Linked DNA regions of Notamacropus eugenii. The protein of the gene in region 3 interacts with the protein of the main gene of each other region in a pairwise test. Links are inferred from orthologs where the notes say so. Each region holds a gene or a part of one and is shown on either strand. Other genes may lie near its edges. The genes, in order: SLC6A13, CFL1, ATXN1 and PSMC3.

What was found.
Region 1: the proteins of ATXN1 (region 3) and SLC6A13 interact in binary tests that used the Homo sapiens proteins (3 or more experiments, as listed by UniProt). The link is inferred for Notamacropus eugenii from reciprocal best matches to the Homo sapiens genes ATXN1 and SLC6A13.
Region 2: the proteins of ATXN1 (region 3) and CFL1 interact in binary tests that used the Homo sapiens proteins (3 or more experiments, as listed by UniProt). The link is inferred for Notamacropus eugenii from reciprocal best matches to the Homo sapiens genes ATXN1 and CFL1.
Region 4: the proteins of ATXN1 (region 3) and PSMC3 interact in binary tests that used the Homo sapiens proteins (3 or more experiments, as listed by UniProt). The link is inferred for Notamacropus eugenii from reciprocal best matches to the Homo sapiens genes ATXN1 and PSMC3.

The regions. Positions count from the first base shown.
Region 1 is NC_092874.1:203,661,774-203,669,318, reverse strand, and holds the start of SLC6A13 (sodium- and chloride-dependent GABA transporter 2), read left to right. Parts: upstream 1-4,543; 5' UTR 4,544-4,628; intron 4,629-7,545. UniProt on the Homo sapiens protein: Mediates sodium- and chloride-dependent transport of gamma-aminobutyric acid (GABA). Mediates transport of beta-alanine. Can also mediate transport of taurine and hypotaurine.
Region 2 is NC_092873.1:18,552,596-18,560,120, reverse strand, and holds CFL1 (cofilin-1), read left to right. Parts: upstream 1-4,516; 5' UTR 4,517-4,750; coding exon 4,751-4,753; intron 4,754-5,209; exon of another isoform or gene 5,210-5,319; intron 5,320-5,852; coding exon 5,853-6,160; intron 6,161-6,252; coding exon 6,253-6,329; intron 6,330-6,537; coding exon 6,538-6,650; 3' UTR 6,651-7,111; downstream 7,112-7,525. Other genes in the region: crossover junction endonuclease MUS81, read right to left, coding at 8-96, 475-543, 675-773, 1,700-1,779, 2,286-2,418, 2,607-2,744.
Region 3 is NC_092875.1:189,266,992-189,274,331, forward strand, and holds the start of ATXN1 (ataxin-1), read right to left. Parts: upstream 3,017-7,340; 5' UTR 2,771-3,016; intron 1,743-2,770; exon of another isoform or gene 1,218-1,742; intron 1-1,217. UniProt on the Homo sapiens protein: Chromatin-binding factor that repress Notch signaling in the absence of Notch intracellular domain by acting as a CBF1 corepressor. Binds to the HEY promoter and might assist, along with NCOR2, RBPJ-mediated repression. Binds RNA in vitro.
Region 4 is NC_092877.1:3,554,228-3,561,827, forward strand, and holds the start of PSMC3 (26S proteasome regulatory subunit 6A), read left to right. Parts: upstream 1-4,595; 5' UTR 4,596-4,885; coding exon 4,886-4,912; intron 4,913-7,600. Other genes in the region: RAPSN (43 kDa receptor-associated protein of the synapse), read left to right, coding at 248-447, 1,073-1,145.

The DNA.
Region 1 (7,545 bases), on a different chromosome or scaffold from region 3:
CATGATTACTACCCTTGCCTTTTTTCCCCTAATATATTCTACTTCTGATCTTTATTTTATGTGTCTGTCTTATTTCCTATCTCTCTTATCTCCTCTGCTTAACTTCTACCTGCTACCTCACTCTCCTGTTACTTAATCTACCCTCTCACAAAGATACCTCCCTTATTCTCTCCCTCCACCTTTCCCCTTGCCCTCTTGTTTCTTCATAACTTTATTTATTTATATAATTATATAAATACATGTAAATTTATATAATATAAATCATATATATAAAATAATAATAAATATATAATAAATTCATTTATATATTTATAAATATATTCTTGTTAAATTTATTCCCTTCTGAATATATGTATTGTTCTTTTACCCAGATATGATGTGAGTAAAGTTCTCTCTAAAAATCTCTCCCTTATCCTTTCCCCTTTCCCTACCCCCTTAGCTTTTTATTTCTTTCTGAACTGAGAAGAGTTTTTTATACCTATATTTCCCTCCTTACTGCATTCCTAATAAAAGTAGTGTTTCAGAACTACTAGACCTCCTCCCGCATCTAATTCCTCTGTGTTGGTTCTTCCTTTCATACCGCATTTTTATAAGATAATTACTCATTTTACCTTTTTCTAAAAAGTTTTACTATTTAGAATCACATCATACTCAGGTCTGCCTCACTCTTTCTTTTGAACTACTCAGTTACTAATAGCAATCTTACACGTATGTTTTACATTTCCTCACGTGAAAAAGAAACAGTCTGTCCTTACTGAGTCCCTTATAATTAGTCTTTGAAGTGTATCTTATATTTCTCTTGAATCTTATATGTCAAATTTTCTATTAAATTCTGATCTTTTTGCAACAAAATCCTGAAAGTCTGTCAATTCATTGAATGTCCCCCCTTTTTTTCCCATTCAGATTATACTTAACTTTGCTAAGTATGATATTTTCAATCATAACCCCAGTTCTTTTGTTCTTCAGCATATAATGTTCTGAGATCTGTGGGTTTTTTTTTTAAGTGCAGCTGCTGCTAGATTTTATGTGATTCTAACTGTGATTGTCATAATGAGTTATTTTGTTTCTCGTTTCTCACAATATTTTCTCCTTGAGCTGGGAGTTTTGGAATCTAGCTATGATATCCCTGTAGTTTTTCCCAGTAGTATCTCTTTCAAGTGGTGATTAGTAGATTTTTTCTATTTCTACTTTCCCTTCTTGTGCTAATACTTCAGAATACTTTAATTATTTCTTGTATTACTCTTATCAAGATTCTTTTTTTGATCCTAGCTTTCAGGTAGTCTGATTATTCTTATGCTTTCTCTTCTTGATCTCTTCTCCAGATCAGTTGTTTTTCTTATGAAAAATTTTCTTACTTTTTTTTTTATTCTTTGTATTTTGTTTTATTATTTCTTGATGTCTTGTACTTTCACAGGCTTTCCCTTGCCAGACTCTTAATTTTCAAGGAGTTGTTTTCTTCCTTAAGATCCTGGATCTCCTTTTCCAGTTTGTTGATTTTCTATTCATAATCTTATTTTTCTTGGATTGTTCTTATTATTTTCTTTAAAATTTCCTTAATCTCTCTCATTTGATTTTTAAAGTCTTTTTTAAGTTCTTGTATGAATTCTTTTTGGGCAGGTGACCATTTGATGTTACCCTTTGGTTCAGGAGAGGTTTTTTTGTTTCACTATTCTCCGCTGAAGAGGAACCCTGGTCCTCTATATTCCCATAGTAACTCTTCATGATTGTATTCTTTCTCCCTTGCCTGCTCATTTTTTTTTTATTTGTAGCAGTTTATTATTGTAATCACCTTTAGTCCTGAGGTGTGGGGGATGGTGCTTCTGACCTCAGATCCTCCTTCAGTTCTCCCTCTTGGACCTGGAACTGAAACCAAGAACTCTGCCTTCCTGTATGTACTCACAGCCAGCAGCATCCCCAACCCCATTGCTTCTGTACTCACTCACCTAGAGTGGTGTCTGGGCAGCACAGATGGGCTTGGTGTCCCTTATCAACAAAGGTTCCCTCAATCTTTCCCACTCAGATGCCTGATACCCCACACTGTCTGGGAGGTGAAAATCCCTGTGATTGGGGCTGACCCAACCTCCCAACCAAGCTAGCCCCAGGGCTCACCACTTGCTGCTTCAGTGGAACTAGCCTGGAGATGTTTACCCTTCACAGACACCAAATATCAGTCCTTCAGATCTTCTCTGGTTGTTCCAGGAGGACCACTGTTCTACTACAACTCTTATTTATTTTTACTACTCTACATTCTCCCTGAGGCGCTATTTTGTCTTATTTGTGGGGGAAATCTGGAGATCTTGGAATTTTCTGACCTATTCCACCATCTTCCCAGAATTCGTGAGATTCTGGACTATTTGTTCTTCTAGATAATATTCCCCCACCCCAGTTCTATAAAGTAATACTCTGGTAGTTTGATTGGCATGACATTAGATAAATAGCTTTATTTAGATAGTAGTGTCATTTTTATTGTATTTTCATTGCCTACCCATGAACAATGAATATTTCTCTAATAATTTAGGTCTATTTTTATTGCTATAAAGAGTGCTTTACAGTGCTATATTTTATCAGAATTCATTGTCTGTTGATATAATAATGTGATTTTAATTCTTGTGAATTTTGTTAATAATGGCTGTTTAATATTTTAATAATGCCTTTTGTTTATGGTTTTCCTAATATTTAATCCATCCTGCATTCTTGATATAAATCCAAACTGGTCATAGCGTACAATCTTTTTAATATGTTTTTATAACTTCTTTGCTAATATTTTGTTTATATTTTTACCATATTAATTAAATATATTGGTTTACAGTTTTCTTTCTCTGTTATGTCTTCATTGCCCTCTGCTCTGTGCTTTTCATTCTTCTGGATTTAGTCATTATAATTAAACTGCCTTCTTAACCTAAAGCTCCCAACCACCCAGTACCTGGGGCCTTCTTACTTTGAAATACTCTCCCCTATTCTTGTCCTTTTCTCCTTTTGTGGAGTTCTTTCTGGGGCCTCCATCTTGGGGACAGGCTTAGGCCAACCATATTTCATTCCTTTTTGAGCTGTGTATCTTACATTCTGCACTTCATTACCATGACCCCACATGCATTCCTTTCCTCCTCCTCCTCCTCCTCTTTTATATATCTCTTCCCCCACCCCAATCATGAGAATGTAAGCTCCTTGAGGGTAGTTAATATCTTTTTGCTTGTATTTGTATCCCTAACACAACACAAGGCCTGGCATATAGTAAGCACTTAATAGATGATTGTTAGCACTTGCCTATCTCTTCCTGGTTTATTTATCTACAGTATATTTGTATGGTAGGATTCCTTTTTTATTCTTTTTGGAAATAGTGTATGTAATGTGAAAATCAATTCTTCAGATGTTTGATAGAATTCATTTGTAAAGCCATCTAGTCTTGGAGGTTTTTCTTTGGGTTTTTGTATGTCACTGGTCCTGTTTCTTTTTCTGAAACAGAATTATTTAAATTCTCTAATTCTTATGTTCATCTTCAGGATTTTATACTTTTTGTAAATATTCAGCCATTTAATCTAAGTTATTAATTTTGTTGGCATAAAATTAAGCAAAAATAAATTTTGGTTGTCTTATTTCTTCTTGAAATTCAATTAATATATAAGTTTAGATGATATGTAATTCAATGTATATATACTAAATGCTGATAGTGACTTATTATCTATGGTACCTGTAGATATAACATAGGTTCCCTGTTTATCTTTTGTAATTGTGTCTTTTACTGTACTTTGTCTAAGACCATGATTGCTACTCTTGCTTTTTTAAGTTCACCTGAAATATAATAGATTCCCCCCCCCAATAGCATTTAAGTTTTACCAATCAAATGGAAAGATAGTTTTCAATAAGATTTTAAGTTACATTTTTTTCTGCCTTCCTACCTTCCCTCTCCACCCCTCTCCTCAAGAAGGCAAGCAATCTGATGATTAATGATCATGTTAATATTTTCACATTAGTCATGTTGAGAAGGAACAAATGAGAAGAATGATAAGAAAGAAAAAAACAAAACAAAAAAGAACAAATAGTATGCTTCGATCTGCATTCGGACTCCATGAGGAAGACTTCCATGTACTTGGATTCCTTGGCCAGTTTTTTGGGGCTGGATTCCTCCCCTAGTACCCACAAGTTTCTGGATGTTTCTTCATGTAGACCTGGGTTGGGAAGATGCACTTACTATAGTTTCTCCTTAGATTTCTTGATCTTTACTCAGCCTTATTCTCATTTTTCATCCTCAGTGGATTAGTTGTGAAAAAAATGGGGCTATTCTGCTCCTATATCCTCTTCCATCTTTGCAACAATTCCCCTGTTAGAGTTTTCTTGAGCCCATTGGGTGCCACTCCCAGGTGCATGTGGTTCTATACTATGGTCATATGGATTTACATGTGCAGACTTACTCCAGGTCTTTATATAACTTGGGGTTTCTGTCTCTCTTTCATCATTACATGTGTTCCTGGTTACATATGGATGCTGCATGCACAAGAAGGATTACAACAGTCTCCCATGAATGAGATGGAAGTATTTAACTCAACCTTGAGAGTGAGAATGTGCCTTCCTGCTATACTTTCTTCTCAGTTAAAAATGTACAGCTTCTGAAAAATACATTGGATGCCATTGTAAGTTGTCTCTTTCATATTTAGACATTTTTATTTATTGAAAGGTATAGGAAAATAGTATATTTGTGTGAGAAATATTGAAATAAAACAGCTTCTCAGAGGAAACTTCTATGTGGACATGAGAGAAAGCAACCTTTCAGAGAAAACATACTTAAAGAAATTAAAGATAACTGAAGTATCATTTCCTCCAACAACTCACTTGTATGAGTGCTATGTGGATTTCAAGGGTGATAGCTATAAAAGCCTAACTAGCACTTTTTTTGGGGTAACTATGGTATAGTTGTGCATTGTTTGTCTGGAATTGGTCTTGTGATCCATGGGTGAATTTTGGTTTCTCACCCTAAGGTAGAGGTGAGTTGCTTTACACAAGGAGACCCTGCTTTGAGGCAGGGGTCAGACAGCAAATGGAGTTGGTGTCCAGAGAGAGAAGCAGAATGGCTTGAAACTGAATGGAGAAGAATTAGAAGAGCAGGAGAAAAGAACAGCTTCTTTAATGCGAACCTAGCCAAGACCAAATTAATGCAGGATAATAGGCTTTGCAGCTAGTGCTGGGAGTTGAGCTGATTGGAGGAAAGAAGAATCTTCAGCCATTTGAAGAGCTGACTGGGGAAAGGAAAGGTTAGCTAGGCTTTACTTCCTTTTACTACCACTATCTTGAAAGGTTTTTACTGTCACCTACTGCTGTAGATGGGAAAGTCCAGGAAAATTGAGTAAACAAACCGGTTTCCTGAGAGTCTAGCTGAGTCATATCATTGGTTATTTTTGAAAAATTAAGGACAAACAAGAAGTGAATAGACATAAATTGCTCTGTAGCCCCAGAGCTTCTGGCTTCATTAAAAGAGCAGTAACACCTTCTTCAGCAGCCCAAGAGTAGTAGCTAGTAAGGACCTGTAAAGAAACCAGAAGTGACCACCCAGAAGAGAAACAGTCTTGCCCAGGAGCAGATGAGTTTTGCAGATTGTCTCTTATGGAGACTGACATCCAGACTAGTAGTCCAGAGTTGTGAGTTGGTCCAGACACGTGAATTTCTCTACCTATGCATCTCTGCTAGATTTCTGCAAACTTGTGCCCACTTTCCCCCATGGATACTTTGTACATTGATGGGAGAGAATGATTTATGGGTAGATCATTATATAATGATTATTTTTGGTTTTGCCTTTGTATTTAATAAATGTTTCATGATTAAGAATTATTGGTGTCATATTGTTTGATCTGTTTCTTTGAGTAGAACATGGGTGGAGGCTCACAAACTAAAGTAATAAGCAGTTAACCTACAGTCCTTCCACATCAGGATTACCCCTAGGACTCTGAGAGAGTTGTAGCTGCATGGCCACACCCTATGGGGAACCACCCCAACCTACCAGAATGTCCAGCCTAGAGAGAGAGTTGGGGTCAGTGACATGCCTGTAATATACCATCTTCCTTAAAATGTAGTGGACTGCCCTATGCCAGCAAACGTTGGTGGGGGTATATGGGTAACATTCTTTTTCATCATCCTTAGCCCATCATGCCTCATCATTGATAAACCAAGCACCCTCTGGGATGACTTACAGCTACTTGTGAATACCCCATCTCCCTCCTCCTATTTGGTCACTGTTTTTCAGCTTGAAATCTTGTTCAATCTGTAATTTAGGGCAAATGGGTATATCTCTAGTTTCTAGAAGATAAGACACCATAGAGGGCTACTGTTCCCTTAGGACTGTCATAGCTGAAATAGTGGGCAGGAAAGAGTTGTCCTCTAGACTTAGCCCCTCTAGACTTATCTATAAAAGAGGTTTCCCAAGAAGTCTTCCCAAATGCTTTACATAAATTCTACTTCCTCTTCCTTTGGATTTTGCCCTGGACCCTCCTTATATGGGTAATCCTTTAATGTCATCTTTTTTGTTGTGTTTGGTGGATATGTCTTTATAGGAATCTGGTTGCTCAACTCTCCCATGCTTTTGTCTTTCTGTTTTCCAAGGAGTCTGAGAGTGAGTGTAAATAGAAATTATTTCTCTTCTCAGAAACTCTGAGGGTCTTCCCCTCCCTGATTGATTCTTTTGTGAAGGCTAAGTAGGCCATCTTTTACCTCAATTTTTACCTAGCCTTTGACTACTGAATGTGTGTTGCCTCAGACAAACTGAGACCTTGGGAAGACATTAACTCAAGAAGGGCAAAGTCTCTCACTGCATTCTGGGCCAGTACCAGTCATCCTGACCTATGACTTGCCTCTGGACTCTGATGACTATGGTGGAGATAGTGGGGCTGATGACTTTGCACAGCTCTGCCTCAGTTAAATCCAATTCACATGCAAATTAAAAACATCACCCTACTCATGTAATTGGTTCTCTTTGAGAATGGAGGACAAGCAGCAACAACCACCAAGGAGTCTGATTAGCTCTAATACTGGCTATATGTGATGGTGCATGTTTTTCAAAGGGCCATGGCTCTCTTCTGGGGCTCTTCTGTAGAATGCTAAACCATCTTCTCTTAATCACTTAGGGTGACTCTCCAGTGGTGTATGAGCTTGCATTTTCTCAAAGCACCAAGATTTTATAGCAAGATATGATCCCTTAGCAGGAATTCCTGACAACAAACTTTAAATTTATACTATCACTTATAGCTTTCCATGCTCTTTTGAGCTGAAACTAATCCTAGGCAATAGGCTTCCCTCAAATAATTTTTCAGGTGAGTGACATACTAGTCATGTGTCTCTATATCTTCTTGATCCTTAGAAATGCTAAAGTACAAGTCCATTGGCAGCGGGGCTCTTATCCTGTGCCTCTGGTCTTGCTCCTGGTGACATTATAATTAGAGGTCACATGCTGACTCCAATACTTTGGTGACTGCAGAAGTCCTCTGGTTTCTGGTTGGATATGTGTGGCATATCTGAACCAAAGGGCCTTCCTCTAGGGCAATGGTATCAAACTCAAATGGA
Region 2 (7,525 bases), on a different chromosome or scaffold from region 3:
GCCTCACCTGGCTGGCTGCTGGCTCTTCTGGATGAGATTTCTGTGAAGGAGAGAACGCAGGGATGGCCAGGGCTGGGTGCTGCTGCTGAGGGCCACCTGACCAGACAGGGAGGCAGAGGCAGATAACGGTCACCTGACCAGTAAGAGGCAGAGGCAGATAAGGGTCATCTCCCATGGTCCCGTGAGGAGGCCCCAGGGCTGGAGTCAGAGGACCCCATATGTATCCCACTTGAGCAGGGGGAGCTTTATGAAAGTTCTTTCTTCTCTCTCAGATTCAGTCTCTCCCTCCTATAAACTGAGGAGCTGGATTAGACTATGTCTAAGGACTGGCCCTTCGCCTTACACTCTGCTCCACAGCAAAGTCACTGAGTGGCTAACTTCTCATGAGCCCCAAAGGAAAAGGCCAAGGCAGGGCTGTGGACAGCAAGCCTCCCTTCTGGCCTCTTGGGGACCCCTGCCATCCCCGGCTCTTACCCTGGGTGCTTCCTGCTCACACCTCCTCAGAAGCTCCTCCTTGGTCAGGAACCCTGGGCTTTTGGGATCCTCAAAAAAGAGGCAGAGGGTCAGTGTCCCCCAGGGCCATCCCTGTCCCCAACCCTACCTGGTCTCATTGAACTGCCTCCAGGCTGTGTCCCTGTCCTCTCCCCACCCTCCCACTCCCATCCCAGGCTTACCAGCTGCTCCCTGTAGAGAATCAGCAGCAAAGCCCGGGCAGCTGAGTGTCGGGGTGGCCTGTAGCTGCTGCGGCCACCAGCCTTGGGCTGGCCTGGGCCCTACATCAGGCAGAGGAGAGGTGCTCCTGAGTCCAACAGCTTCCCAGACCCAGAGCAGGGTGATGGTTTCCTTGTCCACCCCTCCTCAATTCTCCTGCCTGGAGACTGCCTTCCCCTCCCCAAAGGGGAGGCTCATCCCTCAGATGGCCTCAGAAGCCTTTGCTGGCACCAAGCTGGCATTCTCCAAGGCTCCATCCTAGGCTTTCATCTCTCCACCCACTCTCGGTGACCTCCTCACAGTTCAGTTATCGTTATTGTAATCTGTCCACGTGACCTTCAGTGTTTCTCCTAAGCTCCTGCCATCACCCCTGGGGGCATCTTTATAGGCTGGCCACCTTTCCCTGCCTAGATACCACCAGGCATCCAGTCCTGTCAATCATCCACCCATCTCTGACATGCAGAGCTCCTCTTCACACACACCTGGAGCCCCTCCTCACTGCTGCCCTGGATGACTATCTCTCAGGCCCCAGCCTCTGCCCACTGCCAACCAGCCTCCACACAACTAGCTTCCCACACATCTCCATCCTAGGTCTTGGTTAAAATGCCAGAGCTCGGGTGCCACTGTGGGACCCAGCTCCCATTCCCTCTCTGGTGTCTTTGGTATCTCAACATGACAGGCGCACCCAGCATTCATTCCTCCCTCTCCCTCCTTAGGATCTTAGCTTCTTTCAAAGCTCAGTTGGGGGGGGGACCTGAAAAAGGAAAGGATTCCTGACCCCCCCCAAGCTGTTCCCTCCCTCTTGCCCCTTGGTGCTGGCTGCCTCCAGACCACTGCCCTAGGCAGATTCTCAGCTCCTCCACGGGTCGATGGGGTTGGACACCCCACCCCCAGGCTGGACATGTTAAATGGCTGCTCTGAGCTCCCCTTTCTTCCAGAGATTTCCCATCCCCCCCAACCCTGTGAGCCTTAGGGGGTCCCTTCTCACCGACTGAGAAGGGACTGCATCCTCTGGGGGTGTGCTGAACCCCACCTGGGGAAGTTCAGAGACCCGCAGCTCGCCTAGACCTGAGGAAACAACCACAGCATCAGAACAGGGGCAGCTTAGAACAAAAATGTCAGGGCCGGGGGGGGGGGGGGGGGGGCTGAGAACGGGGGATGTCAGGGCCGGGGGGGCTGAGAACGGGGGATGTCAGGGCCGGGGGGGGGGGCTGAGAACGGGGGATGTCAGGGCCGGGGGGGCCTGAGAACGGGGGATGTCAGGGCCGGGGGGGGGGCTGAGAACGGGGGATGTCAGGGCCGGGGGGGGGGGCTGAGAACGGGGGATGTCAGGGCCGGGGGGGCTGAGAACGGGGGATGTCAGGGCCGGGGGGGGCCTGAGAACAGGGGATATCGAGGCTTTGAGGGGCCTGAGAACAAGAGTGGCAGGGCTTAGGTTCATTGCTACCCCTGGATCCCAAGGAGCGAAGGGCCAGGGTGTCAGAGCGGCAGGCCAGCCCCGCCCCTCGTCTCGCCCCCTAGCTTGGTGCCCGGCCAGGCAGATCCAGGCTGGGTGTCAGACAGGCCCCCCTCACCCCGGCCGGCCTCCTGGTGCTGCTCCAGCCTCTGGTCCAGCATCCGGCACAGCGCATCCCCAAAGTGCCGCAGGATCTTGGCTTCCTTCCCGCTCCTCAGGGGCAGGGGGTAGCGCAGCAGGGAGCGCAGGGCCTGGAGGTGCAGGGGCGCTGGTGTGGCGGGTCAGCCCCCAGGGCCCTGGCCCCGCCCACCTCCAGGGCCTTCCAGACCCCGCCCACCCCTCCAGTCCCCGCCCACCTCCCGCCCCTTCCAGGCCCCTCCCCACTCCCTTCCAGGCTCCTACCTCACCGGGCACACCCCACCCCCACCCTCCGGCCCACCTTCTGATAGACGAAGCGCGTCCGCAAGCCCCGGCCGGCCGCCTCGTCCCGCCACTCGCGGAGCCAGCGCACGAAAAGCGGGTTGGCGCAGGCGGGCAGCGGCCGCTTCCGGCCCAGGCGGGGCGCGGGCGCGGCCATAGCTCAGCTCTGACTCGAGTTAGAACGGCCGGCGCTCCGGGTGGGGGGCGGGGCCTCGCTCTCCTCCCCGCGCGCCACGTGACCCGAGCCCCCGCCCCGGCTCTCAGGCTTCCCGAAGGTGGAAGGTGTGGACATCACCCCCCCCCCCCCCGCCCACGAATGGTTACTTCTGAGTGCTGAGCTTCTCACACAGCTCCCCCCGCGGCTGTCAGCATTTGGGCTCTCCCTACCATAGCACCCAGGAACCGAGGTCCCACCCCTTCCGCATTCTAGCAGAAGGAGAAAGGAAGGGATAAACGAGTGCTGCGCGGATGGGGAAACGGGAACAGCGCCCCCTGTGGTCGGGAGGGCGAAAGAAAACCGCTCTCACCTTGGCTCTCTTGCAGGATCGGCCTCGGCGCCTGCAGGGAGGATGGGAGCCTCCAGAGGGCGTGCGGAAGGGTCTGAACCTAGAGAAGCGAAGGGCACTGGAGCTGGGGCATAAAGCCCAGAGAATTCACAAAGGGGACTGGAGCCCGGGAGATCTGCACGGGGGTGGGGGCGGGGAGGAAAGAATACATCCCCAATGATGTGCAAAGGCGACTGGTGGGGGGGAATCTGCAAGAAAAGGACTGGGCTACAGACTGGGGGATGTCCAGAGGGGGCTCCGTAGAGCCCGGGTTATGTTCAAGGGGTCCGGCTCGAGCCCTGGACGTTTGCAGCGGGTGCTCTCCGGACAGAGCCCGGGGGATGGGCAGAGGAGAAGAGAGCTAGAGAATTCACAAAGGGAGCGTGCGAGGAGGCTGGACGGGTCTCCGACTTCGCGCTTTGCATTCACTGCAGCGGCCAGGGGCAGGCACAGAGGTCACCGACCGCCCGGCTGCTGCCCAGCCAGGGATTTCCCGGGCGCTCGCCAGCCCTGGGCCTGCCCTCCCGCAGTTTCCATATAAGGCTCAGTTTCCATATAAGGAGCGGTGCACGGGCGCTCTGCCTGGCTCCGCCCCATCCCGGCTCATGCCCTAATAAGGCGATCTGGGGCATCCCAGAGCTGCAGGCGAGGGGGGGGCTGGTCTCCAGGGCGACCGCGAAGCCCGCGCCCCCTCCCCTCCCACGGAAAGCGACGGGGCGCGGGGAGAGGTACGAGAAGATGGGTGCCACCTTGCCTTGGCTCCGGGCGGATCTCACCGCCTTGGCTTTGGGCCTCAGTTATGCCATCTGTGAAATGGGGGGCTCTGCAGGCTCGGTTCCTAGTGCCGAAAATCTCAGCCATTCACATCTCCGAGGGAATGCCATGGGGGCGCAAATCCCCTGCTCCTCCCCCCGCACTCCCCACCCTCGGTGACCCAGTCATGAGTGGTGTACCCCCTCCCCTCGGTCTCCTGGTTGGTCGTGTTTGCGGAGGCAAGCACAGATGAGCCTATGGGCACCGAAAGAGGCTGCACGTCAAAGCCCAGTTTTTTTAGTCAGCGGCTTCCTGCCTCAGTTTCTCCGTCTGCCGTACGTGGTGCCCAGCTCCTGACAACGAGAGATAAGAGATGAGCCTCAGTTTTCCTCTCTGTACAATGGGGACTAGAACTGGGGACCCTTGGGCAGCTGTGACGTTGGGAATGGGATCCAAGGGCCCAGAGCCCCGGCCTCTCGCCCCGGGCGCCCGAGCCGACGTCGCGGAGCAGCGGAGGCGGGACACCAACCCAAGGTGGAGCGCTCCTGGCCCCGCCCCTCTCCGCAGGGGGCCGAACGCCCGAACTCCCCGGGCAGTCTAGCATGGCTGGGGAGACTCCACTTCCCGGCGTGCCCTGGGGCGGCGCAGCGCCTCCGAACTTCATTTCCCATCGGCCCCGTCTCCAGAGCGCCGGAAGCTCGCCCCGCCTCTCATTGTGCGGCTCCTACTAAACGGAAGGGGCCGGGAGAGGCCGCGTTCAGTCGGCTCCAGGCAGCGGCGGCGAAGGAGCGACGCCCTCCTCTCCTGTGGCCCTCGTTTCCTCCCTCACCCTCCCTCCCTCACTCGCTCGCTCCTTTCCGGAACCATGGTGAGCGCGGGCCAGAGAGCTCCGAGGGGGCCCGGCGCCCGACAGCGGGGGTGGTGGAGGCGGTGCAGCGGGCGGGGCGGTGTCCTCATCCTCCTCTCCATCCTCCCCTCCGTCCTCCCCATCCCTTCCCCTCCCCCTCCTGGGGCGCCGCGGGCGAGACTGGCGGCTGGCGGAGGGGCTCGCGCGCCGGGCGGGTGGCCGGGCGGGCGCGCGCGCGCCCCGACGCCCCCCCCCGCGCGTGCTCGTCTGACGTTGACGGTTGTTGGGTGCAGCGGGCGCGCGCGCGACCCTCCTCCTCCCAACCGTTATGTAGTGTTGGGGGGGGTTAGGGGCGCGCGCGGCCCCCGTACCCGGGGGCGTCGCGCATGCGCGCACCTCCAAGGGCTGAAGCAAAACGAGGGGCAGTTGGGGAGGGGGAGGAAGGGAAAGAGAGGGGGCGCGCGCTCAGCCCAGAGCACGCGGCTCCGCAGCTGGAGGAGGGCGGGGTGTCGGGCCCTGCGTGATGCCTTGGGGGCGGCCTGGCCCTTTCCGGCGAGGATGATCCGCCGCTGCCCACCCCAGGCCGGGTGGGGGGGCACTCCGAGGCTAATGCCCAATTTGGGGAAGTGGGTCCGGAAGGCCTGGGCCGGACCCCTCCCCCCTTCCTGAGGGGGTGCCGAGCTTGTCTTCCTGGGGCGGGCTCTTTCCCCTCCCCCTCAGGAAGCGGCGCCGATCTCGGCTGCTTCCTCGGGGCCTTTTTGGTGTCGTGGTAGGGGGAAGCGCCAGAGCAGGACCCCCGTCCTGGAACTGGGGGCCCGGGAGGCTCTGTCCCCGGTTGTGGGGGCAGGGGGGCTCCAGAGCCCTCATCTGCGGCCCTTAGGCAGGAGCTGCCCCTGAGCTAGAGGGGAGGCGTGGCCGGAGCTGGGCCGGGGGCTCCGGGGGCTCGGGGCGGCCGAGAGTCAGAAGGTCAGAGTTGAGGTCCTGCCTTCTGACGCTGGTCAGCGTGGGCTCTGCGGCGTTTAGTCAGACGAGGAGTAGAGCGCCTCTGCCGGGAGCGTGCCCCGCAAAGGCCCGGCAAGCCTCCGAGCACCTGCTGACTTGTTCCCCTCCGTGCCCACAGGCCTCTGGCGTGGCTGTCTCGGACGGGGTGATCAAGGTGTTCAACGACATGAAAGTTCGCAAGTCCTCCACCCCCGAGGAGGTGAAGAAACGCAAGAAGGCCGTGCTGTTCTGCCTGAGCGAGGATAAGAAGAACATCGTGCTGGAGGAGGGCAAGGAGATCCTGGTGGGTGACGTGGGGCAGACTGTGGATGACCCCTACACCACCTTTGTCAAGATGCTACCGGACAAGGACTGCCGCTATGCCCTCTACGATGCTACCTACGAGACCAAGGAGAGCAAGAAGGAGGACCTGGTGTTCATCTTCTGGTGAGTCTGAGGGCGGTGGGCCCCTCAAGGCCAGGCTTGCCCAGAGGCACGCACTGGGAATTTTGGGCACTGACTGTTTTCTCTCCTGCCAGGGCCCCTGAGTGTGCCCCCCTCAAGAGCAAAATGATCTATGCGAGCTCCAAGGACGCCATCAAGAAGAAACTGACAGGTGTGTGTGTGCGGGCGCGTGTGTGAGAGATGGCATTCCCAATAGCGTAACCCTCTTTGGTGCTCAAGGCCGAATTTCGTTGGGTCTGAAGAACTGGGTGAGAAGCCTGACTGGCTGTGGTGGGACCTTGGAAGCTCAAGGCTGGGTTTTTATCTGTAAAGTGAGGGCACTTTGGCTCTGACTCGCCCATTTCCATTCCTTCTCACAGGAATCAAACACGAATTACAAGCCAACTGTTATGAGGAAGTGAAGGACCGCTGTACCCTGGCTGAGAAACTGGGGGGCAATGCCGTGATTTCCCTGGAGGGGAAGCCCTTGTGAGTCTCCCACGTCTGGCCCTCCTGCTGGGGCTGCCCAAGCCCAGTGGGGGAGCAGGCTGCCCCCTTCCTGCCAGACCCAAGGGCTGGGGGGATCCTAGCAGGGGCAGGGCAATCCCTTCACCCCTTTGCCAAACCACCCCCTGGCCTTCCCAAACCGCCTTTGATATTCTCATTCCTCCTGAGTTGTAGCAGACCAAGGTCCCCCCGATGCCCAGATGGGGGGGAGGCCAGTATTTTTTTTTAACTGACACCCCCAGTTTTCCCCCTTCCCCGGTGCTGCCAACTTCTAACCGTAATAGTGGCTTTGTGCTTGTTGTTTAGTTTGGTGTGTAAATGGAATGTTGTGGAGATCCCTTCCCCCACACAGCCGGCTCCCCTCCCCCCCTCCCCCAGTTACTCATGTGGCCAGTAAAAGGAAAGTTCAATTAAAAAAAAGACAAATAAAGAAAAGGTGAGCTGCTCTGCAGGTAGTTGTTTTCTGGGCTGGGCAGGAGGGATTTGGGGATGGTAAAGTATGGCAGGTTCCCTTTACCATCTCTCCCGAGTTCTGACGGAATTGTTGCCTGGGCCTGGGGCTTTGATCGGTGCCTTCTGGCTGGAAGACAGCCGTCTTCTCTGGATCTTCCCTACAGTTTGACCTAAGGTGGGCCCTTCCCAAGCCTTCTGATCTCTGGGCTATTGGTTTTATGAGTCTCTTTTCCCTGGAGTTGGGCCCAGGAGGAACTCTGCCAGATGAGCCTGTTACTGGGAAGGGGCTTCTCACTCTGTGGAGGAGCTAGCTTCCCGTGAAGCCAGCCTCAAGGGAGCACACAACATGCTGGGTCCAAAGCAGGCAGCTTTATTTCCATTAGTGAAGGAAAGACTCCGCTGGCTTGC
Region 3 (7,340 bases):
CCCTTTTCTCTTGTAGCACCCTCCGTCAATAACCTTCATTCCGAGGAGTCAGCGGATCAAACTATTTTCATCCGATGAATAATGCAAAGAGGTTGTTGGAAGATGGCAGGGGTCTCTGTTAACTGAAGGTTTCATCAGAAATCCAAATGCAGAAAGCTTACCTAAGGCATTAGCAAAAGTGTGCCTAAATAAATCTGATAACTAACTAACCATTACTACATAATATATAACAATGACGATTAAATATTAAGTGCAGTCCACATCATAAAAAACAAATGTCACCAAACTGGGAATACTCTGTATCTAAAACTGAACTTATTCACCTATACACACGGCTGTGTATTCAAGACCATATTTTAAGGAGAGGATGATATTTCAAAGCATTAGCTTTTATTGTTTATGCACAACGGGGTCTTCTGATTTTGTTAACTGTATCCTGAGCATCTTGTGGGGGAAGCTCAGAATCTCATCCGGGATAGATCCAGTTTGGAGGAGTCCCTACTGCACAGCATACGGTAAACAAAATAAAAATAGCTTGTTCTTGTTATCCACATAGAGCATTATATAACCAGCTTCCGACTTGGGTTTTTTTTTTTTTTTGCCATTACTACTCCTCAGCAATTTTCCCATCTGCAAAAGTATTTAAATGTTCCCAATTTTTGTAGGGTTGTAGCTATCAAAAACAACAAAACAAAACAGTGCTGGAATGGGTTTTTGCTGATTCCCAACGTCCTTGGAAACTGTGCAGTGTCCCCCCCTCCCCGACACAATCTCCATCAGCTTCAGTCCCTCCTCCCTCACCCCTCACCAAGGTTCTCCCTAGAAAATCGGAATTGTTTTACCACTTCCAGCAAAAACCCTGCATGGCCTGAAATAAAACGAAAGCCCAGCACAGGAAGTTTGAGGCCAACTGAGGCGGGGGAAAAGGTGAAGGGGTTGAAGCTGGTGCAGGAAGAAAAAAAAAAAAAACAAAAAGCAGGAGACCAGAGATGACCAAGGTCCCAATCTCAAAGTCCCTTTCTAAGCATGACCCCTTCCCCCAATACACACACACACACACACACACACACACACACACACGCTCACACACGCTCACACGCACGCACGCACACGCCCCTCTTATTACAACACCTCACTTCTACCTCTCCCCTTTGGGCCCCGCTTGCACACCCTCCCCCTCTCCCTCGCTTGCCCTCTGGGGACTGGCCTGCACTCACTCAGCACTGGAACAAGTAGGAGGCGGTGGTAGTGGTAGTGGTGATGGTGTCTCCGGCCTGGCCCGGCCCTGAGTGAGCAGCGGGGCTACTGGGCGCATCCCAATCCCTGCAGCGTCTCCTCCTCCTTCTCCTTCCCCTCCTCCTGGCTTCATTCACCCTCTCAGCAGCCACACAAGCCCTTTCACTCTAGGCACGGGGGCAGGACTTGCCCCGCGGCCACCAGCTCCTCTACTACTCTCTTACGCTCTCTCCCGTGCAACGTGCAGCCGGCACCCGCGAGCAGCCTCCCCTCACCCCTCGAACCGAGTGCTAGCCAGGCACCGGGCAGCGGCAGCAGAGCGGCGGCGGCGGCGGAGGCAGCAGCAGCAGCAGCAGCAGCAGCAGCAGCAGCAGCAGCAGCAGCAGCAGCAGCAGCGGAGGCTCCCTCCACATGATCAGGAAGCCGCCGCACAAACAAGGCAGCAGCCAGCCAGGGCCGCCACTCCAGCCGCGGCCGCTGCTCCGGGCACCCACAGACACACTCACGCGCGCGCGCGTCCCCTCCCCGTTACCCTTGCCAGCCTCAGTCTCTCTGTGTCTGTCTCTGCCTCCCCCTTACGCCCCCTCCCCAGTGCTCCCACCCCTCTTCTTCTAGCCAGGGCAGTAGGTCTTGGTCACTTGCAAAGTCCTGGACAGACCCCCCCCCCCCCACACACACACAGAGTTTCCACTTCCCCTAGATGTGTACACACACACACACACACACACACACACACACACACACACAGATGGACAATCTTCCCAGGCTTGGCGACCCCCAGTAGCAAAGAGGAAGAAGCCGGTAAGCTGGGAGTCCAGCCCTCCCCAGAATCAACACATACCTACGCGTGCACGCTCGCTCACACACACACACACACACACACACACACACACACACAGAATCCCTCCTTCCCAGTCTGGAGAGTGCAAAGTAGGGGTGAGTGGGGGGAGTGTTGGGGGGGCTGAGGTGGAGAGGAGTGCAGGCTGCTGCTGACTCCCTCTGCGCCACCCCGAGGGAGGACATTTCTTACAGGCACTCGGGAGCCCGAGTGGCAGCAGCAGCAGTAACAGGGGTGCACTGAATCTCCCCGGGCACCCAGGGACAATCCACCCCCCGCCCCCTCCCCCCAGGGGCGCGTGTCCCCCACCCCCTCCCGCCCACACCTATTCCATCTGCTTCCTGGCCTGTTCCCTTAGCCAATTGCCCCAGCGCTAGGAGTGGGGGTGTTGGCAACAGAGAGGCTGAAGCGTAGGAAGGTTGTATGTACACACACGCACACAACACACACACACAACACAACGCGGATCATTTTCTTCTCTGCTCTTCCAGCTGTGGTTGGTGCCGCCGCCGTTTGAGGGTTTGGGTTGGATTTGTTTGTTGTTGTTGATGATGTAGTTCCCGGGATAGCAGAAAGAAGGGTCTTAATCTATATAAGGGGAGAAGAGGACGGGGAGGGGGGAGGGGGAAGAGGGGGGAGGAGAGTAGAAGGGGGAGGGGGAGAGAAAGAAACAGGAGGAAAAAAATAGCCACTTACTGTAAAGTGTAAATGGATCTGGGGTTGCTTGGGGAAGGGGGGCAGAGGGAGAGAAACAATGTCTTGCGGCGGCTGTTGCTGCTCGCTGCTGCTGATCCACAGGGCTTGTTTTTTATCCCCCTGCAGTGAAACAGGTCCTGGACGCCTCTGCCACTGTAGTAGAAATGATGTCTGCGGTATACACTGCTCTCTCCTCCTCCTCCACTCCCCTCCCTCTCTCCCTCCTCCCTCCACCCCCCTTCTCTCTCTCTCTCTCTCTCTCTCTCTCTCTCTCTCTCTCTCTCTCTCTCTCTCTCTCTCTCTCTCTCTCTCTCTCTCCCTCTCTCCCTCTCTCCCTCACTCTCTCTCTCTCTCTCTCCCTCCCTCTCTCGCTTGCTCGCTTGCTCCAGTATGTAAATGTGTAATAGAAGCCAAATATGGAGCAGTTGGCTGCCGCTGCAACCGCTCAAGGATCCTACTGGGGGGTGGGGGGGAGTGAAAAGAGCTGGGGGGGGGGGGGCGGGGGCAGAGGAGGCCGGACTGGGGTGGGGGGGGAGGGGGAGGAGGCAAGGCAACTCTTTGGCGAACATCCAAGAGAGCCACACAGATTATTGCATACGCACAGCAGAGCCCGGCCAGCCGGGCTTAACCCTTCCCTGGTCTCTGCACAGCCTTCTTCTAAGAATTTACTGGGAGGGATTAGGGACTGGCGGGGGGTGGGGGCTGGGGGGAGAGAGGAAGCAGTTTTCATTCCAGAACCTGCACGCATTAACCACTCCTCGGAAAAAGTAGCTTTTTGGGGATGGGAGGCGGTGAGGGATGATAGTAAAGGAAGGGTGGCAGAAATGAAAGGTCAAGGTGGTGGGACTGGCTTATTTAAACCTCAGAGGGTGGGTTCTTACAACGCCTCCGCCACTGCCTCCCCCCTACACAGACACACGCACACGCACACACGCTCACACACTCTTCTTTCACTTCCTTGGCAAGCAGGCAGGGAAAGGTCTCCGAGGAGCTCCGACTGACTTTTTTTACTCAAACCCCAAGGAGGTTACAGAAGTGTCGACTTCCAGGTGAGTGCCAGAGAGAGAATTACTCAATCGACATTGACCTAACCGAACTAACCGCTCCTCTGGACACAGATGCTCAAAGTGTCTTGCCTCTGCTAAATGAACAACTCATGTCAACCCTGAAACCGGTTGAGCGAGCAAGTGGGTTAGCAGTTCAAGGCTTGGGAACTCATTCTTTAATGCAGAAGATCGAGGATGACTACGAGGTCCCTGAAATCTGCACTAAATTCTATTGGGGAAACTTTGAGGGACTCCCCTTTCCCTTACCTCCACTTTCTCTGAAGCCTAGTAACTGACTACCCCTTGCCCATTCCTTTACTCTCGAAAGCAGGCCAGAAAAGATTCTTTGGACCCGGATGTTCAGTAACTATTCCTAATGTCTCAGCAGAGCAGCCAGCTACAAGAGACAACATCTTCACCTGGACAATGTCAAGTTCATTGATTTAATCCGAAATGAGGTCCTAGTGAAAGTTGGGGAATGGCAGATGTCAAATGAACTTTAGACAGCTGATTCAAGCACATCCTCTGGGCTCAGTGGTAAACTCTTCGGGGTTGTTAGGGTTTTTTTTTTTCTTTTCTTTTTTTTATCCCTTAGTTGAATGTTACCTCAGTAGGAAGGAATCTCTTTCTGAGAATTATTCACCTTGCCAACAGGTGTGGCATACATAGAGGAAAAGAAGCCACATTCATGCTGAAGCAAGCTCAGTTTCCTCTTACAGCAGATAAATGGGGAACCTATAGGTGTCGGGACACTGTCTGGTCTCCTTCATGGAGTTAGTCTGGATAAACAGGGAACATTCAGCTCAAAAAGAAGTTTACATTGCATTTTAATACTCTACTTGTTGCCTCTATGTTGAATGGATCTTTCAGCCTCATTCATGTGTGACTGAAATACATTAGTCAACATGTCATGCAAATCCAGAATCACCAAAAGAAATGTGGTGTCAGCTTGTAGCCCCCTGAAGGGCTGCAAAGCCTTGTACTTTAGATATGAAAATAAAATAGTGTGTTGAGTATGAAAAATAATTTTTTCTATCATTTTGAAAATCCGAGCTCATAATTTGTTACTCATGAAAAAGAACCATTGGTCATCATTACTCATTTTTATTTATTTTTACCATTTGAAAATCCAGGGTCTGCTGTACAATGACATTGTTGGTCTCATTACAGCCTCTAGTGGACAGTTATGATCCATTTCTCAAAAAACTGTGATCTTTTTTGCTGTTCCAATGGACAGGCATTAGCAAAGTGAAGGTTGGTATCAAATAACATAACAAAACATAAAATTTTAACCTCCTCATCAGAGTGGGATTTTGAACAAAAACAGGAACTGGTTGGTTTTATGCAGTAATGGCTTCTTTTTGGAGCCTCAGGTATTATTACTGGCTTGTGAATAAATAGAGAGCTGCTGCTATTCCTTTCAGCTTCAGACAGCTTTCATAAAAACTAAATTCATCTAAAATATTTTTATAACAGAAAATATTGGTTGCCATGTTTTTGGCTTAAGTGAGACATTTTTATTCCAACTCATAATCTGCAGACTGTCCAATCCACCTCCAGTCTATTTTTAGTCATCTTGCATTAAGAGAATTTTTTTTAATAAAGAAGCAAATATTTTTATTATTTCATTGACATAAGCAGTTCAAGTTATTTTAACAGCCTTCAGCAAATTAAAACTCATAATTCAGATTAAAGTCAGTCAATTAATTTAAATGCACCCTTAAGGAAACTAAATCTGTATATTACTAAGACAGTAAAACAAGAATGTGCATTAATTTCTGAGATGAACAGCCATAAACTATGACTTAAATCTGTAACTATTTCTTCCTGCAAGTCCAAAAACTAAGCATAATTTTCATGATACCGTTTCATTATCTAGGGTATTGGAGACAGTTGTTTTCAGATGAGAAAGGATTAAATTGAAAATAAGACAGATCTGGCACTGTCTCTTTAAAAGTGAGACTATCTCATGCAAATAAAAGCTTAGTCAAAAGAGTACAGCTTTCATGAAACAGTAAGCAAATGTGTAGTACTATAGTACTATTCACAAACCAGATATTACATTCACACATGGACAAGGCAAACTTTAAAAGACAAGGAAATGCCTAGAAAAGCCTTCCATTCTGTCCTCTGCCACCATTGTACTCCTGGATTCGGGGAATCTTCCTACCTAACATATGTCTTGGATTACTTAGCTATCAGGAACATATAAAGAAGTCTACCCATTAAATTTTATTGGCTGCATGTTTGTGGGATTAGAAATATTGTATCAAGAATGCTTTTATACTTTAAAATAATTGGCTATAAAATAATAGTTTCCAAAAAAGTTCATAACTCCCACAGTATTCCACTTAACTCCTATGTTCATTCATCCCCCTTGTCTCTTCTGTCTGTTCCTAGAGTCTTGTCCCCATCAGTTTGTGCCTTTAAAGGTTTGGGGGTTTCTTAAAGACATAATTATTTTCTGCCATTTCTGTGTTCTAGTTCATGAACTCCCTAATTTGTGGACACAGTAGTAATTTTTTTCAAAGACATTGCACCCTGCTGAGGAAATTGTACTGAAGTCTGGATGAGTTAATGTTTCCATCAAAGCAGTAGAGGGAGCACAAGCGTGCTGAATGTAATAATTGTATGGGTCTCCAACTTCAGGGCAATTTAAAAATAGTGGTTCATAAATCGGTTTATTGGCAGTCGTTGGATAGGTATGCTTTGTTTAATTATTGACAGAGATATGGAGTTAAAATATTTACTACCACGTTATAGCAGTTAGATATGGACTGATGTAGGCATCTTTTCAAGTTTAGTACTCAGCACATACACCTATTTAGAATTTTTATTTAAATTCTTTGATGGAATTTTGATCTTATTCCAGTATCCTCCACCCACCCAAAACTCATAACATACCCAAATCAAACACTGCAACTTTGGATAGACCTTCCTCAAAAACAGTTAACTCATAAACACAGTCAGCCTTGTCTCATTTTGACTGAAGGACTTAGCAAAAAAGACATTTGCACAGGATCACAATAATGTTGTTTGGAATGAAGTATTATTTTAAGAATATATAATAATATTAATTTTTCATCAGTTTTGACTGCTTAGCTTTAAGGCACATGATGAGAATTTATCTTATATTTGTGTAGCACCCTATATACTTTGAAAGCCCTTTTAAAAAGATTTCATCTTTATATATTTCTGTGAGGTAACTAAGATGATAAATGAGGCCACTGAGATTCATGGAGATTATATAATTTAGGCAAGGTTACAGACTAGTGTCAGAACTTGCTGGAAAACCCACATCTATTGACTCTTAGAAATTCAGCTCCAGTTGAATTTCTCCATAACACCTGTAAGTGGATTATAAAATTCATTTCTTACTGATCTATTCAAGAGGCCTAGGTTCAAATCTTGACTCTAAAATTACCATTATCTTCCCAGTGTAGTCATTTAACCCCTCTGAATATCACTTCTTTCTTTTATCTGTGTTTACCTAGGGGAACAAATCTAATTCTTTAGGAGGTGAA
Region 4 (7,600 bases), on a different chromosome or scaffold from region 3:
GGGGGTGGGCTTAGGGGCAGTGAGACAGAGGGTCTCCCCCACTGTCAGACCACCCACTAAGCAGCAGACCCATCTGAATCCCTTCCCCTGTGAGACCTAGCTGCTACCCGTTGTTCAGGGTCGCTGGACAACTGCTAAAAGGCATGGGGGCACTGCCAAGGTTGAGGGATGCCCCTGAATGGCTCCATATAGTCTGGTATCCTTTCCTCTGCCACCCCCATGTACCTGTCTCCTCTCTGTGCACCAGCTAAGTCAGCTGAAGCTCCACTGCCTGAGCGAGGGCATCTATCGCAGCAGGGGTCAGCAACGGGAGCTGCGGGCTCACGTCGTGCGCTTCCATGAGTGTGTAGAGGAGACCGAGCTATACTGTGGGCTCTGTGGGGAGTCCATTGGGGAGAGGAACAACCGGCTGCAGGCCCTGCCCTGCTCCCACTTCTTCCACCTAAGGTAAAAGGCTGGAGGAGATTGCCCAAGTGCTGCTTGTGGAGTGTCTGCTCCTGGTGGCTAGGACTGACAGGGAGCATGGTGCCGCTGGTACTGGATAGCTCGGGACAGTTCTGCGGAGACATTACCAGGGGGCTGGGCAGCTGGCTGCACCCACAGCCAGATTGGGCAGTGCCTGAATGCAGGTGCCTCGCCTTTGCCAAGCTTGCTTCTTGCTACGTTTCTGCACTTTCAGGAGGTGACCATTTGTAGGGCCCTAACTTCCACCTTGCCCTCTTCCCTCACTGCTCTTCCTGTTCTGTGTAGGGTGCTGTGGTGGTAAAAAGGTGTAGCGAAATGGTTCCTGCCTTCCAGGAATCCAGATCATTCCAGACTCAACAGCATTTGGGAGGGTCCCTGGCCAGAGCCAGGACAGCATTTCAGAGGGAGAATTGGTTCCAGCTGAAGGTTTGGGGAAGGCCTCACCACGTGACCCCAGAGTGTCCTTTAGGGGAGGATTAAGGTTTATGCTGGGTGAGGATGAGCCCCTGGAGAGGGGCAGTGGCAGGGGAAGGTCATGAGGAAGTTCCAGGGTGACAGTGCATGATCGGGGCAGCTGGTTCATGAGCAATCCTCTTTGCCCCATAAGGTGCTTACAGAACAATGGGACCCGGAGCTGTCCCAATTGCCGCCGTTCCTCCATGAAGCCGGGCTTTGTGTAACGGACTGACACCCCTCTGTGAGCCTGGAAGGGGCCTGAGGGAGAAGCACGAACAGGTCCCTTCCTCCTCCTCTTCCAGTCACTGCCCAGGCCTCCCTCATCTGCCTGGACGTGCTGCAGTCCTGGACCCACCAAGGATTTCCTCGCCTACTGTGACCTCAGCATCGTTAGCCTACTCAGAGCTCCCCTTCCATGAACTCTGCCAAAGCCACGTCCTCTGGGGTTTCCCCCTTGAATTCCACAGGCTAGCTTTGTTGTCACAGTGGCCCAGAGGAGTCCAGTTTCATTGTCATCCTGGCCCTCACCCTATCCTAGCCTTCCCGGCTGCCATGTTTCTGTCCTTTACTTGGCCCCCCACATTTGTTCCCTTTCCCCTCGGGGGAAAGTTGGCATTCTGGAAGCCAGATTCCTGTCTGGGGTGGTGGCAGTAACTGGGGTTATCTGGTCCCTTTCGGGGGGCTGCCTTGCGCCCTCCCCTGCTGTCATGCTCAACCCTGAGACTGGGTGACCGACTTCCCCCACAGTAGGATACGACTCTCTGAGACTGTCTCAGCTTGGGCCAGTATACCAGGCACCAGGCAAGAAGCGGCCCTCCCCCATCCCCACTGCTCCCCAGATGATTCCAGCCAGCCCACCCTGCACTTGTTTGTATTCCCTTCTTTATAGAAAAATAAAAAGGCAATCATTTCTACCCAGGTCTGACTAAAGCTAATTGTGCTCTGGGCTGTCTCCCATCCCTGAAATGCTCTCCCTTCGTCTGAGGGCTTCCCTGAATCCCAATGAGAATCCCACCTTTTATAGGAAGCCTTTCCCAAACCTTTGTCATGTGCCTATGACAAGGCACATGTGGATAGCTTATGTATTGATGAGGTTGGTTTGTGAACCTGTCCCAAAGTATTTATTCAACAAGAATTAAGAACCTACTGTTTACAAAGCAGTTTGCTAGATGTTGAGAAAAATACAGTGTGGATAAAACTTGTCCCTGACTTTGAGAAGTATACACTATAGGGGAGAGGTGACACATTAATTAGAATATCAAATATGACTGATACAAGAAGGATCTCAGTATAGGAAAGGAGTGAGCATTTATTAAGCACCTACGGTGTGCCAGGCACACTTAATGTGGAAATGCTTTCTACCTACCCACATGGCAGTTGGTCTGTGACCTAGAGGGATCCCAAGAAGTTGCCTGAGAGGCCCATAAAGGTTAAGTAATTTGCTTAGGCTCACACAAGTACTGTCAGAGGCAGCTTCTGAAAACCAGGGCTTCCTGCCTCTAAGCCCAGCATTCCAGCTACTCTGTTCCCTGTAATATCTGCTTTATCTATTCTAATAACAGAAGTAGTAGAATTAACAGAATTACATAGGAAGTTCACAAAAGTTCACCAAAAACAATGTATTATACTAGCCATCTAGCTTTTATATAGCACTTCAAGGCTTGCAGAATAGCTTACAAATACCTCATTTTATCCTCTTAACAACCCTGAGAAGTAGCAGCTATTATCCCCTTTTGTACAAATGGAGATGGGGAAACGAATGTAGACGGGTTAAGTGAGCTGCTGAGATCACACAGGTAGGTAGTGCCTGAGACTAGATTTGAACTCAAGTCTTCCATGCAACCATACAACCTAACTGGCCTTTAGGTTTTATTAGAGATTAAAAATTAGCTCTGGAACTATGCCCAGAAGGCAATCAAACGTCAGACCCTTTGATCCAGCAATACCACTGCTTAGTCTGTATCACAGAGAGATCGTAAGAAAGGGAAAAGGGCCCACATGGACAAAAACATTTATAGCAGCTCTTTTTGTGGTGGCCAACAACTGGAAGCTGAGGGGATGCCCATGTGCTGGGGAGTGGCGTATGAATGTGATGGAGAGCTGTTGTGCTATAAGAAATGATGAGAGGCCTGGACTTCCATGAGCTGATGCCGAGTGAAACGAGCAGAGCCAGGGGAACGTGGCACAGGGACAGCAACGTGTGTGGGCACCAGCTTTGAGACTTGGCTGTCCTCAGCGATGATCCGGGAGAGTTCCAAAAGGCTGGCCGTGAAACGTGGGCTTCACATCCAGAGAAAGAACTGATGGAGTCTGACTGCATCAAAGCACACCTTTCACTTTATTTTTGTGTGTGTGTAGTCTCGCAAACTAGTTTTTTTCCTCCAAACTTTCTTCTTTCACAATATGAAGAGTGCCTGCACAGACCGTGGCCTAAAGGGCCCACGGCCTCCCAGGGCATCCTGGGCCATCTCCAGTCATCCTGAGGAACACCTGGGCACCGAACCCACATGGCTCTGGAGGAGGTGAGGCCAGGGACCTGCACAGCCCTCTGTCCCTCACAACAAAGTCAAGTGCAGTCGTGTCTTCATGTCTCTGATGGCCACGAAGAACGAACACAATATGGAAACAGGTTTTACGTGGCTGCACGTTACAACCCATTTCAAAGTGCTTACTGTCTTAGGGAGAGGGAGAGGATGGAGCGAGAAAACTGGGAACCCAGCGTTGTATAAAAAGATTAGCCCTGGACAGAAGCCTGTTTGTCCTCCTTGTGGGCCCTGCCCAGCTCTTCTCAGTGTCAGGGAATGATAAGGAGAGAGGCCTCAAGAAAGAAGCAGCTGGTGTTTGTCCAGGGAGATAGGACAGGGGGGAGAGCCCGGGCAGGGGCACCAACCCGCCAGCGCCATCAGAGCTGGTGCCCAGGCCCAGGCCCTGCCCTGCCCGAGGGCCGAGCTCGGTGCCCCCTGCTGCCCAGCTAGGCCTCTGGCACCTGCCTCCCTGCCCCGCAGCGGCCCTGGCCTCCTGGCTGCAGGTCATCTTGGCTCGGGGCATCTTCTTGGGCGGCCGTGTCCTCACCCAAGGGCTTCCTGGAATCCCAGCTAAAACCCCACCTTTTAGCCCTTGGCTCCCTGAGCTGTTGTGCTGGAGCTGGCTTTGTCTAGCTGGCATCCCCCAGCTTACAGGGCATACAGTGGGTGCTTGATAAATGCTGATTCTGTGTCCCGCCTTGAGCTAGCTTTGCACCTCCTGTGTGTGTGCTGGATGGCTCCCCCATCCGACTGGGCGGCTTAGCCTGGCATACAGTAGGCGCTTAATCAGTGCCCCTGCCGTGGGCGCACGCGGAGCCATCCCTTGCTCCGGGCGGCTCCTTAAGGAGGCCACCCCTGGCTTCCCTACGCCTCAGTCTCCCCGGCTACTCGCATCTGGACGCCTCGTGGAAGCCTGGAAGCGCGCGACTATCGCGATTATCGCCGTCCGGCTCCGCCTCCTCCAGGCAGCCTTCCCACCCGAAGCCCTTCCCTCGGGGGAGCCCCCGCTGCTCCCTGAGAACTACGAATCCCGACAGCCCGCGAGGCAGCGCAGCCTCGTGACGTAGACCGTGGCGCCGCCGCCGCCGCCGCCGGAGCCAATGACGGCCGAGAGCTCGCCCCTCCCCGGAAGCAGGCCGGCCGAAGGCGGGACCAGTGGCACGTGACCGCGCCCCGCTCGCCCCGACTTCCTCCTCACCGCCCCGCCCCTCCCCGAAGCGGTCTCGCAGATTCGCCGCAGCCGCGCTCCCGGAGCGTCGCTGACCGAGGCAGGCCGCCGATGGTGCCCGGGCCGCGCGGCAGGAGGCCGGGCTAAGCGGCGCTGGTCGGGCTCGGCGCTGGGCCTTTATCCCCGCGCGGGCCCGCCGCCCCTCCGCATCCGGCGGCCGAGCGTCGAATGTGCGGCCGGAAGTGGGGGCCCAGTGACTCGGCAGGAGAAGATGGCGTCCGTGTGGGACGAGGCTGAGGTGAGCGCCGGCGGGGGCGCCTGCTGCGTACGGAGGGGCCGGGGCCGGGGCCGGGCCGGAGAGGAACCGCGAGGCCTCGCGCGGAGGCGGGGAGGGGAGGCCAGGGCGGCCGGCGCTCCAGGCGGGGGGCACGGCCGGCGCAAAGGCCCCGAGCGGGGCTTGAACCGGCGCGAAGGCCCCGGGGGGAAGATCTCTTTGGCTGCAATGCGGAGCGTGCTCAGGAGGGGGAGAGGCCCGGTTCAGGTTCGGCCTGAGACCCTTCCGACGCTGGGCGCGTGGCTTCACTCTGCCTGCCTCAGTTTCCTCATCTGTCACATGAGCGGGAGAAGGAAGTCAAGCCGCTGCTGGCCTAGGCCCAGGCAGGACTAAAGGGAGGGGAGAGGCAGCATCCATTAGGCGCCTCCTGTGTGCGGCCCCCACTCGTGTCCTGGCAGCATCAGGGAGCATCAGCTCGGAGAGAAGGTGGAGGAGGGCAAGGAGCGAGTGTAGACGGCAGGGAGCCGCCCTCTGGGAATCGCCAGGGTTAGGGAGCGAGTGTAGACGGCAGGGAGCCGCCCTCTGGGAATCGCCAGGGTTAGGGAGCGAGTGTAGACGGCAGGGAGCCACCCTCTGGGAATCGCCAGGGTTAGGGAGCGAGTGTAGACAGAAGGGAGCCACTCTCTGGGAATCGCCAGGGTTAGGGAGCGAGTGTAGACGGCAGGGAGCCACCCTCTGGGAATCGCCAGGGTTAGGGAGCGAGTGTAGACAGAAGGGAGCCGCCCTCTGGGAATCGCCAGGGTTAGGGAGCGAGTGTAGACAGAAGGGAGCCGCCCTCTGGGAATCGCCAGGGTTAGGGAGCGAGTGTAGACAGAAGGGAGCCGCCCTCTGGGAATCGCCAGGGTTAGGGAGCGAGTGTAGACGGCAGGGAGCCGCCCTCTGGGAATCGCCAGGGTTAGGGAGCGAGTGTAGACAGAAGGGAGCCACTCTCTGGGAATCGCCAGGGTTAGGGAGCGAGTGTAGACGGCAGGGAGCCACCCTCTGGGAATCGCCAGGGTTAGGGAGCGAGTGTAGACAGAAGGGAGCCGCCCTCTGGGAATCGCCAGGGTTAGGGAGCGAGTGTAGACAGAAGGGAGCCGCCCTCTGGGAATCGCCAGGGTTAGGGAGCGAGTGTAGACAGAAGGGAGCCGCCCTCTGGGAATCGCCAGGGTTAGGGAGCGAGTGTAGACGGCAGGGAGCCGCCCTCTGGGAATCGCCAGGGTTAGGGAGCGAGTGTAGACGGCAGGGAGCCGCCCTCTGGGAATCGCCAGGGTTAGGGAGCGAGTGTAGACGGCAGGGAGCCGCCCTCTGGGAATCGCCAGGGTTAGGGAGCGAGTGTAGACAGAAGGGAGCCACTCTCTGGGAATCGCCAGGGTTAGGGAGCGAGTGTAGACGGCAGGGAGCCACCCTCTGGGAATCGCCAGGGTTAGGGAGCGAGTGTAGACAGAAGGGAGCCGCCCTCTGGGAATCGCCAGGGTTAGGGAGCGAGTGTAGACAGAAGGGAGCCGCCCTCTGGGAATCGCCAGGGTTAGGGAGCGAGTGTAGACGGCAGGGAGCCACCCTCTGGGAATCGCCAGGGTTAGGGAGCGAGTGTAGACGGCAGGGAGCCGCCCTCTGGGAATCGCCAGGGTTAGGGAGCGAGTGTAGACGGCAGGGAGCCGCCCTCTGGGAATCGCCAGGGTTAGGGAGCGAGTGTAGACAGAAGGGAGCCACTCTCTGGGAATCGCCAGGGTTAGGGAGCGAGTGTAGACGGCAGGGAGCCACCCTCTGGGAATCGCCAGGGTTAGGGAGCGAGTGTAGGCAGAAGGGAGCCACCCTCTGGGAATCGCCAGGGTTAGGGAGCGAGTGTAGACAGAAGGGAGCCGCCCTCTGGGAATCGCCAGGGTTAGGGAGCGAGTGTAGACAGAAGGGAGCCGCCCTCTGGGAATCGCCAGGGTTAGGGAGCCAGTGTAGACGGCAGAGGCCTGTGCTCTGGGAATCCCCAGGGTTAGGGAGCCTTATGCGGGCCCCCCAAGGAGAGGGACAGCCACCGTCAGAGCGGCCCCCCGGGCTGCAGCAGTGCTTTGCCTCTCCCTTGTGCGGCTCGTTTTACAGATGAGGAAACCGAGGCAGGCAGAAGGCCTGGTCTGAACTCAGCAGCACCTGGCCGCCCGCGGGGCAGGTAGGGAAGGACGGGCTCTGGGGGCTGTGTGAAATGGGGAGGACGGGCTGCTGCCATCTGTCTTGTAGCAGGAGGCCTTTGGTCCCGCAGCCCTTGGGCAGCTGGGGAAGGTGCGGATCCCTTGTTGGGTCGCCCAAAGACCAGTTACGTGGAAATGCAGCGTGGGGTTCTTGTTGGTGGGCCCCAGCTGAAGGACTTGTGGGCTGGAGGGGCTCTCTCCCATTGTGCTCACTCCCCGCGCTCCCAGCTCTGACACTCTGTGAACCCAGAGTGTAAAAGGGAGTCTGGGGGAGCGTGGAGGGGGCGAAGGCTGGCTGCCCTGAGAGCGGAGGCAGGCAGGAAGCTCGCTGAGAGAGTGACCCACTCCAGCCACATAACATCATCATTTCTGAAATAACTGCAGACAGTACGGAGGCGCCTGTGTGAGCACAGTTACAAACACTCGTCACACGGACGAGGACAGACCTAAGGGTCTCGTGGGTCGTTTACTTATTCCCTGCCGTACCACCACC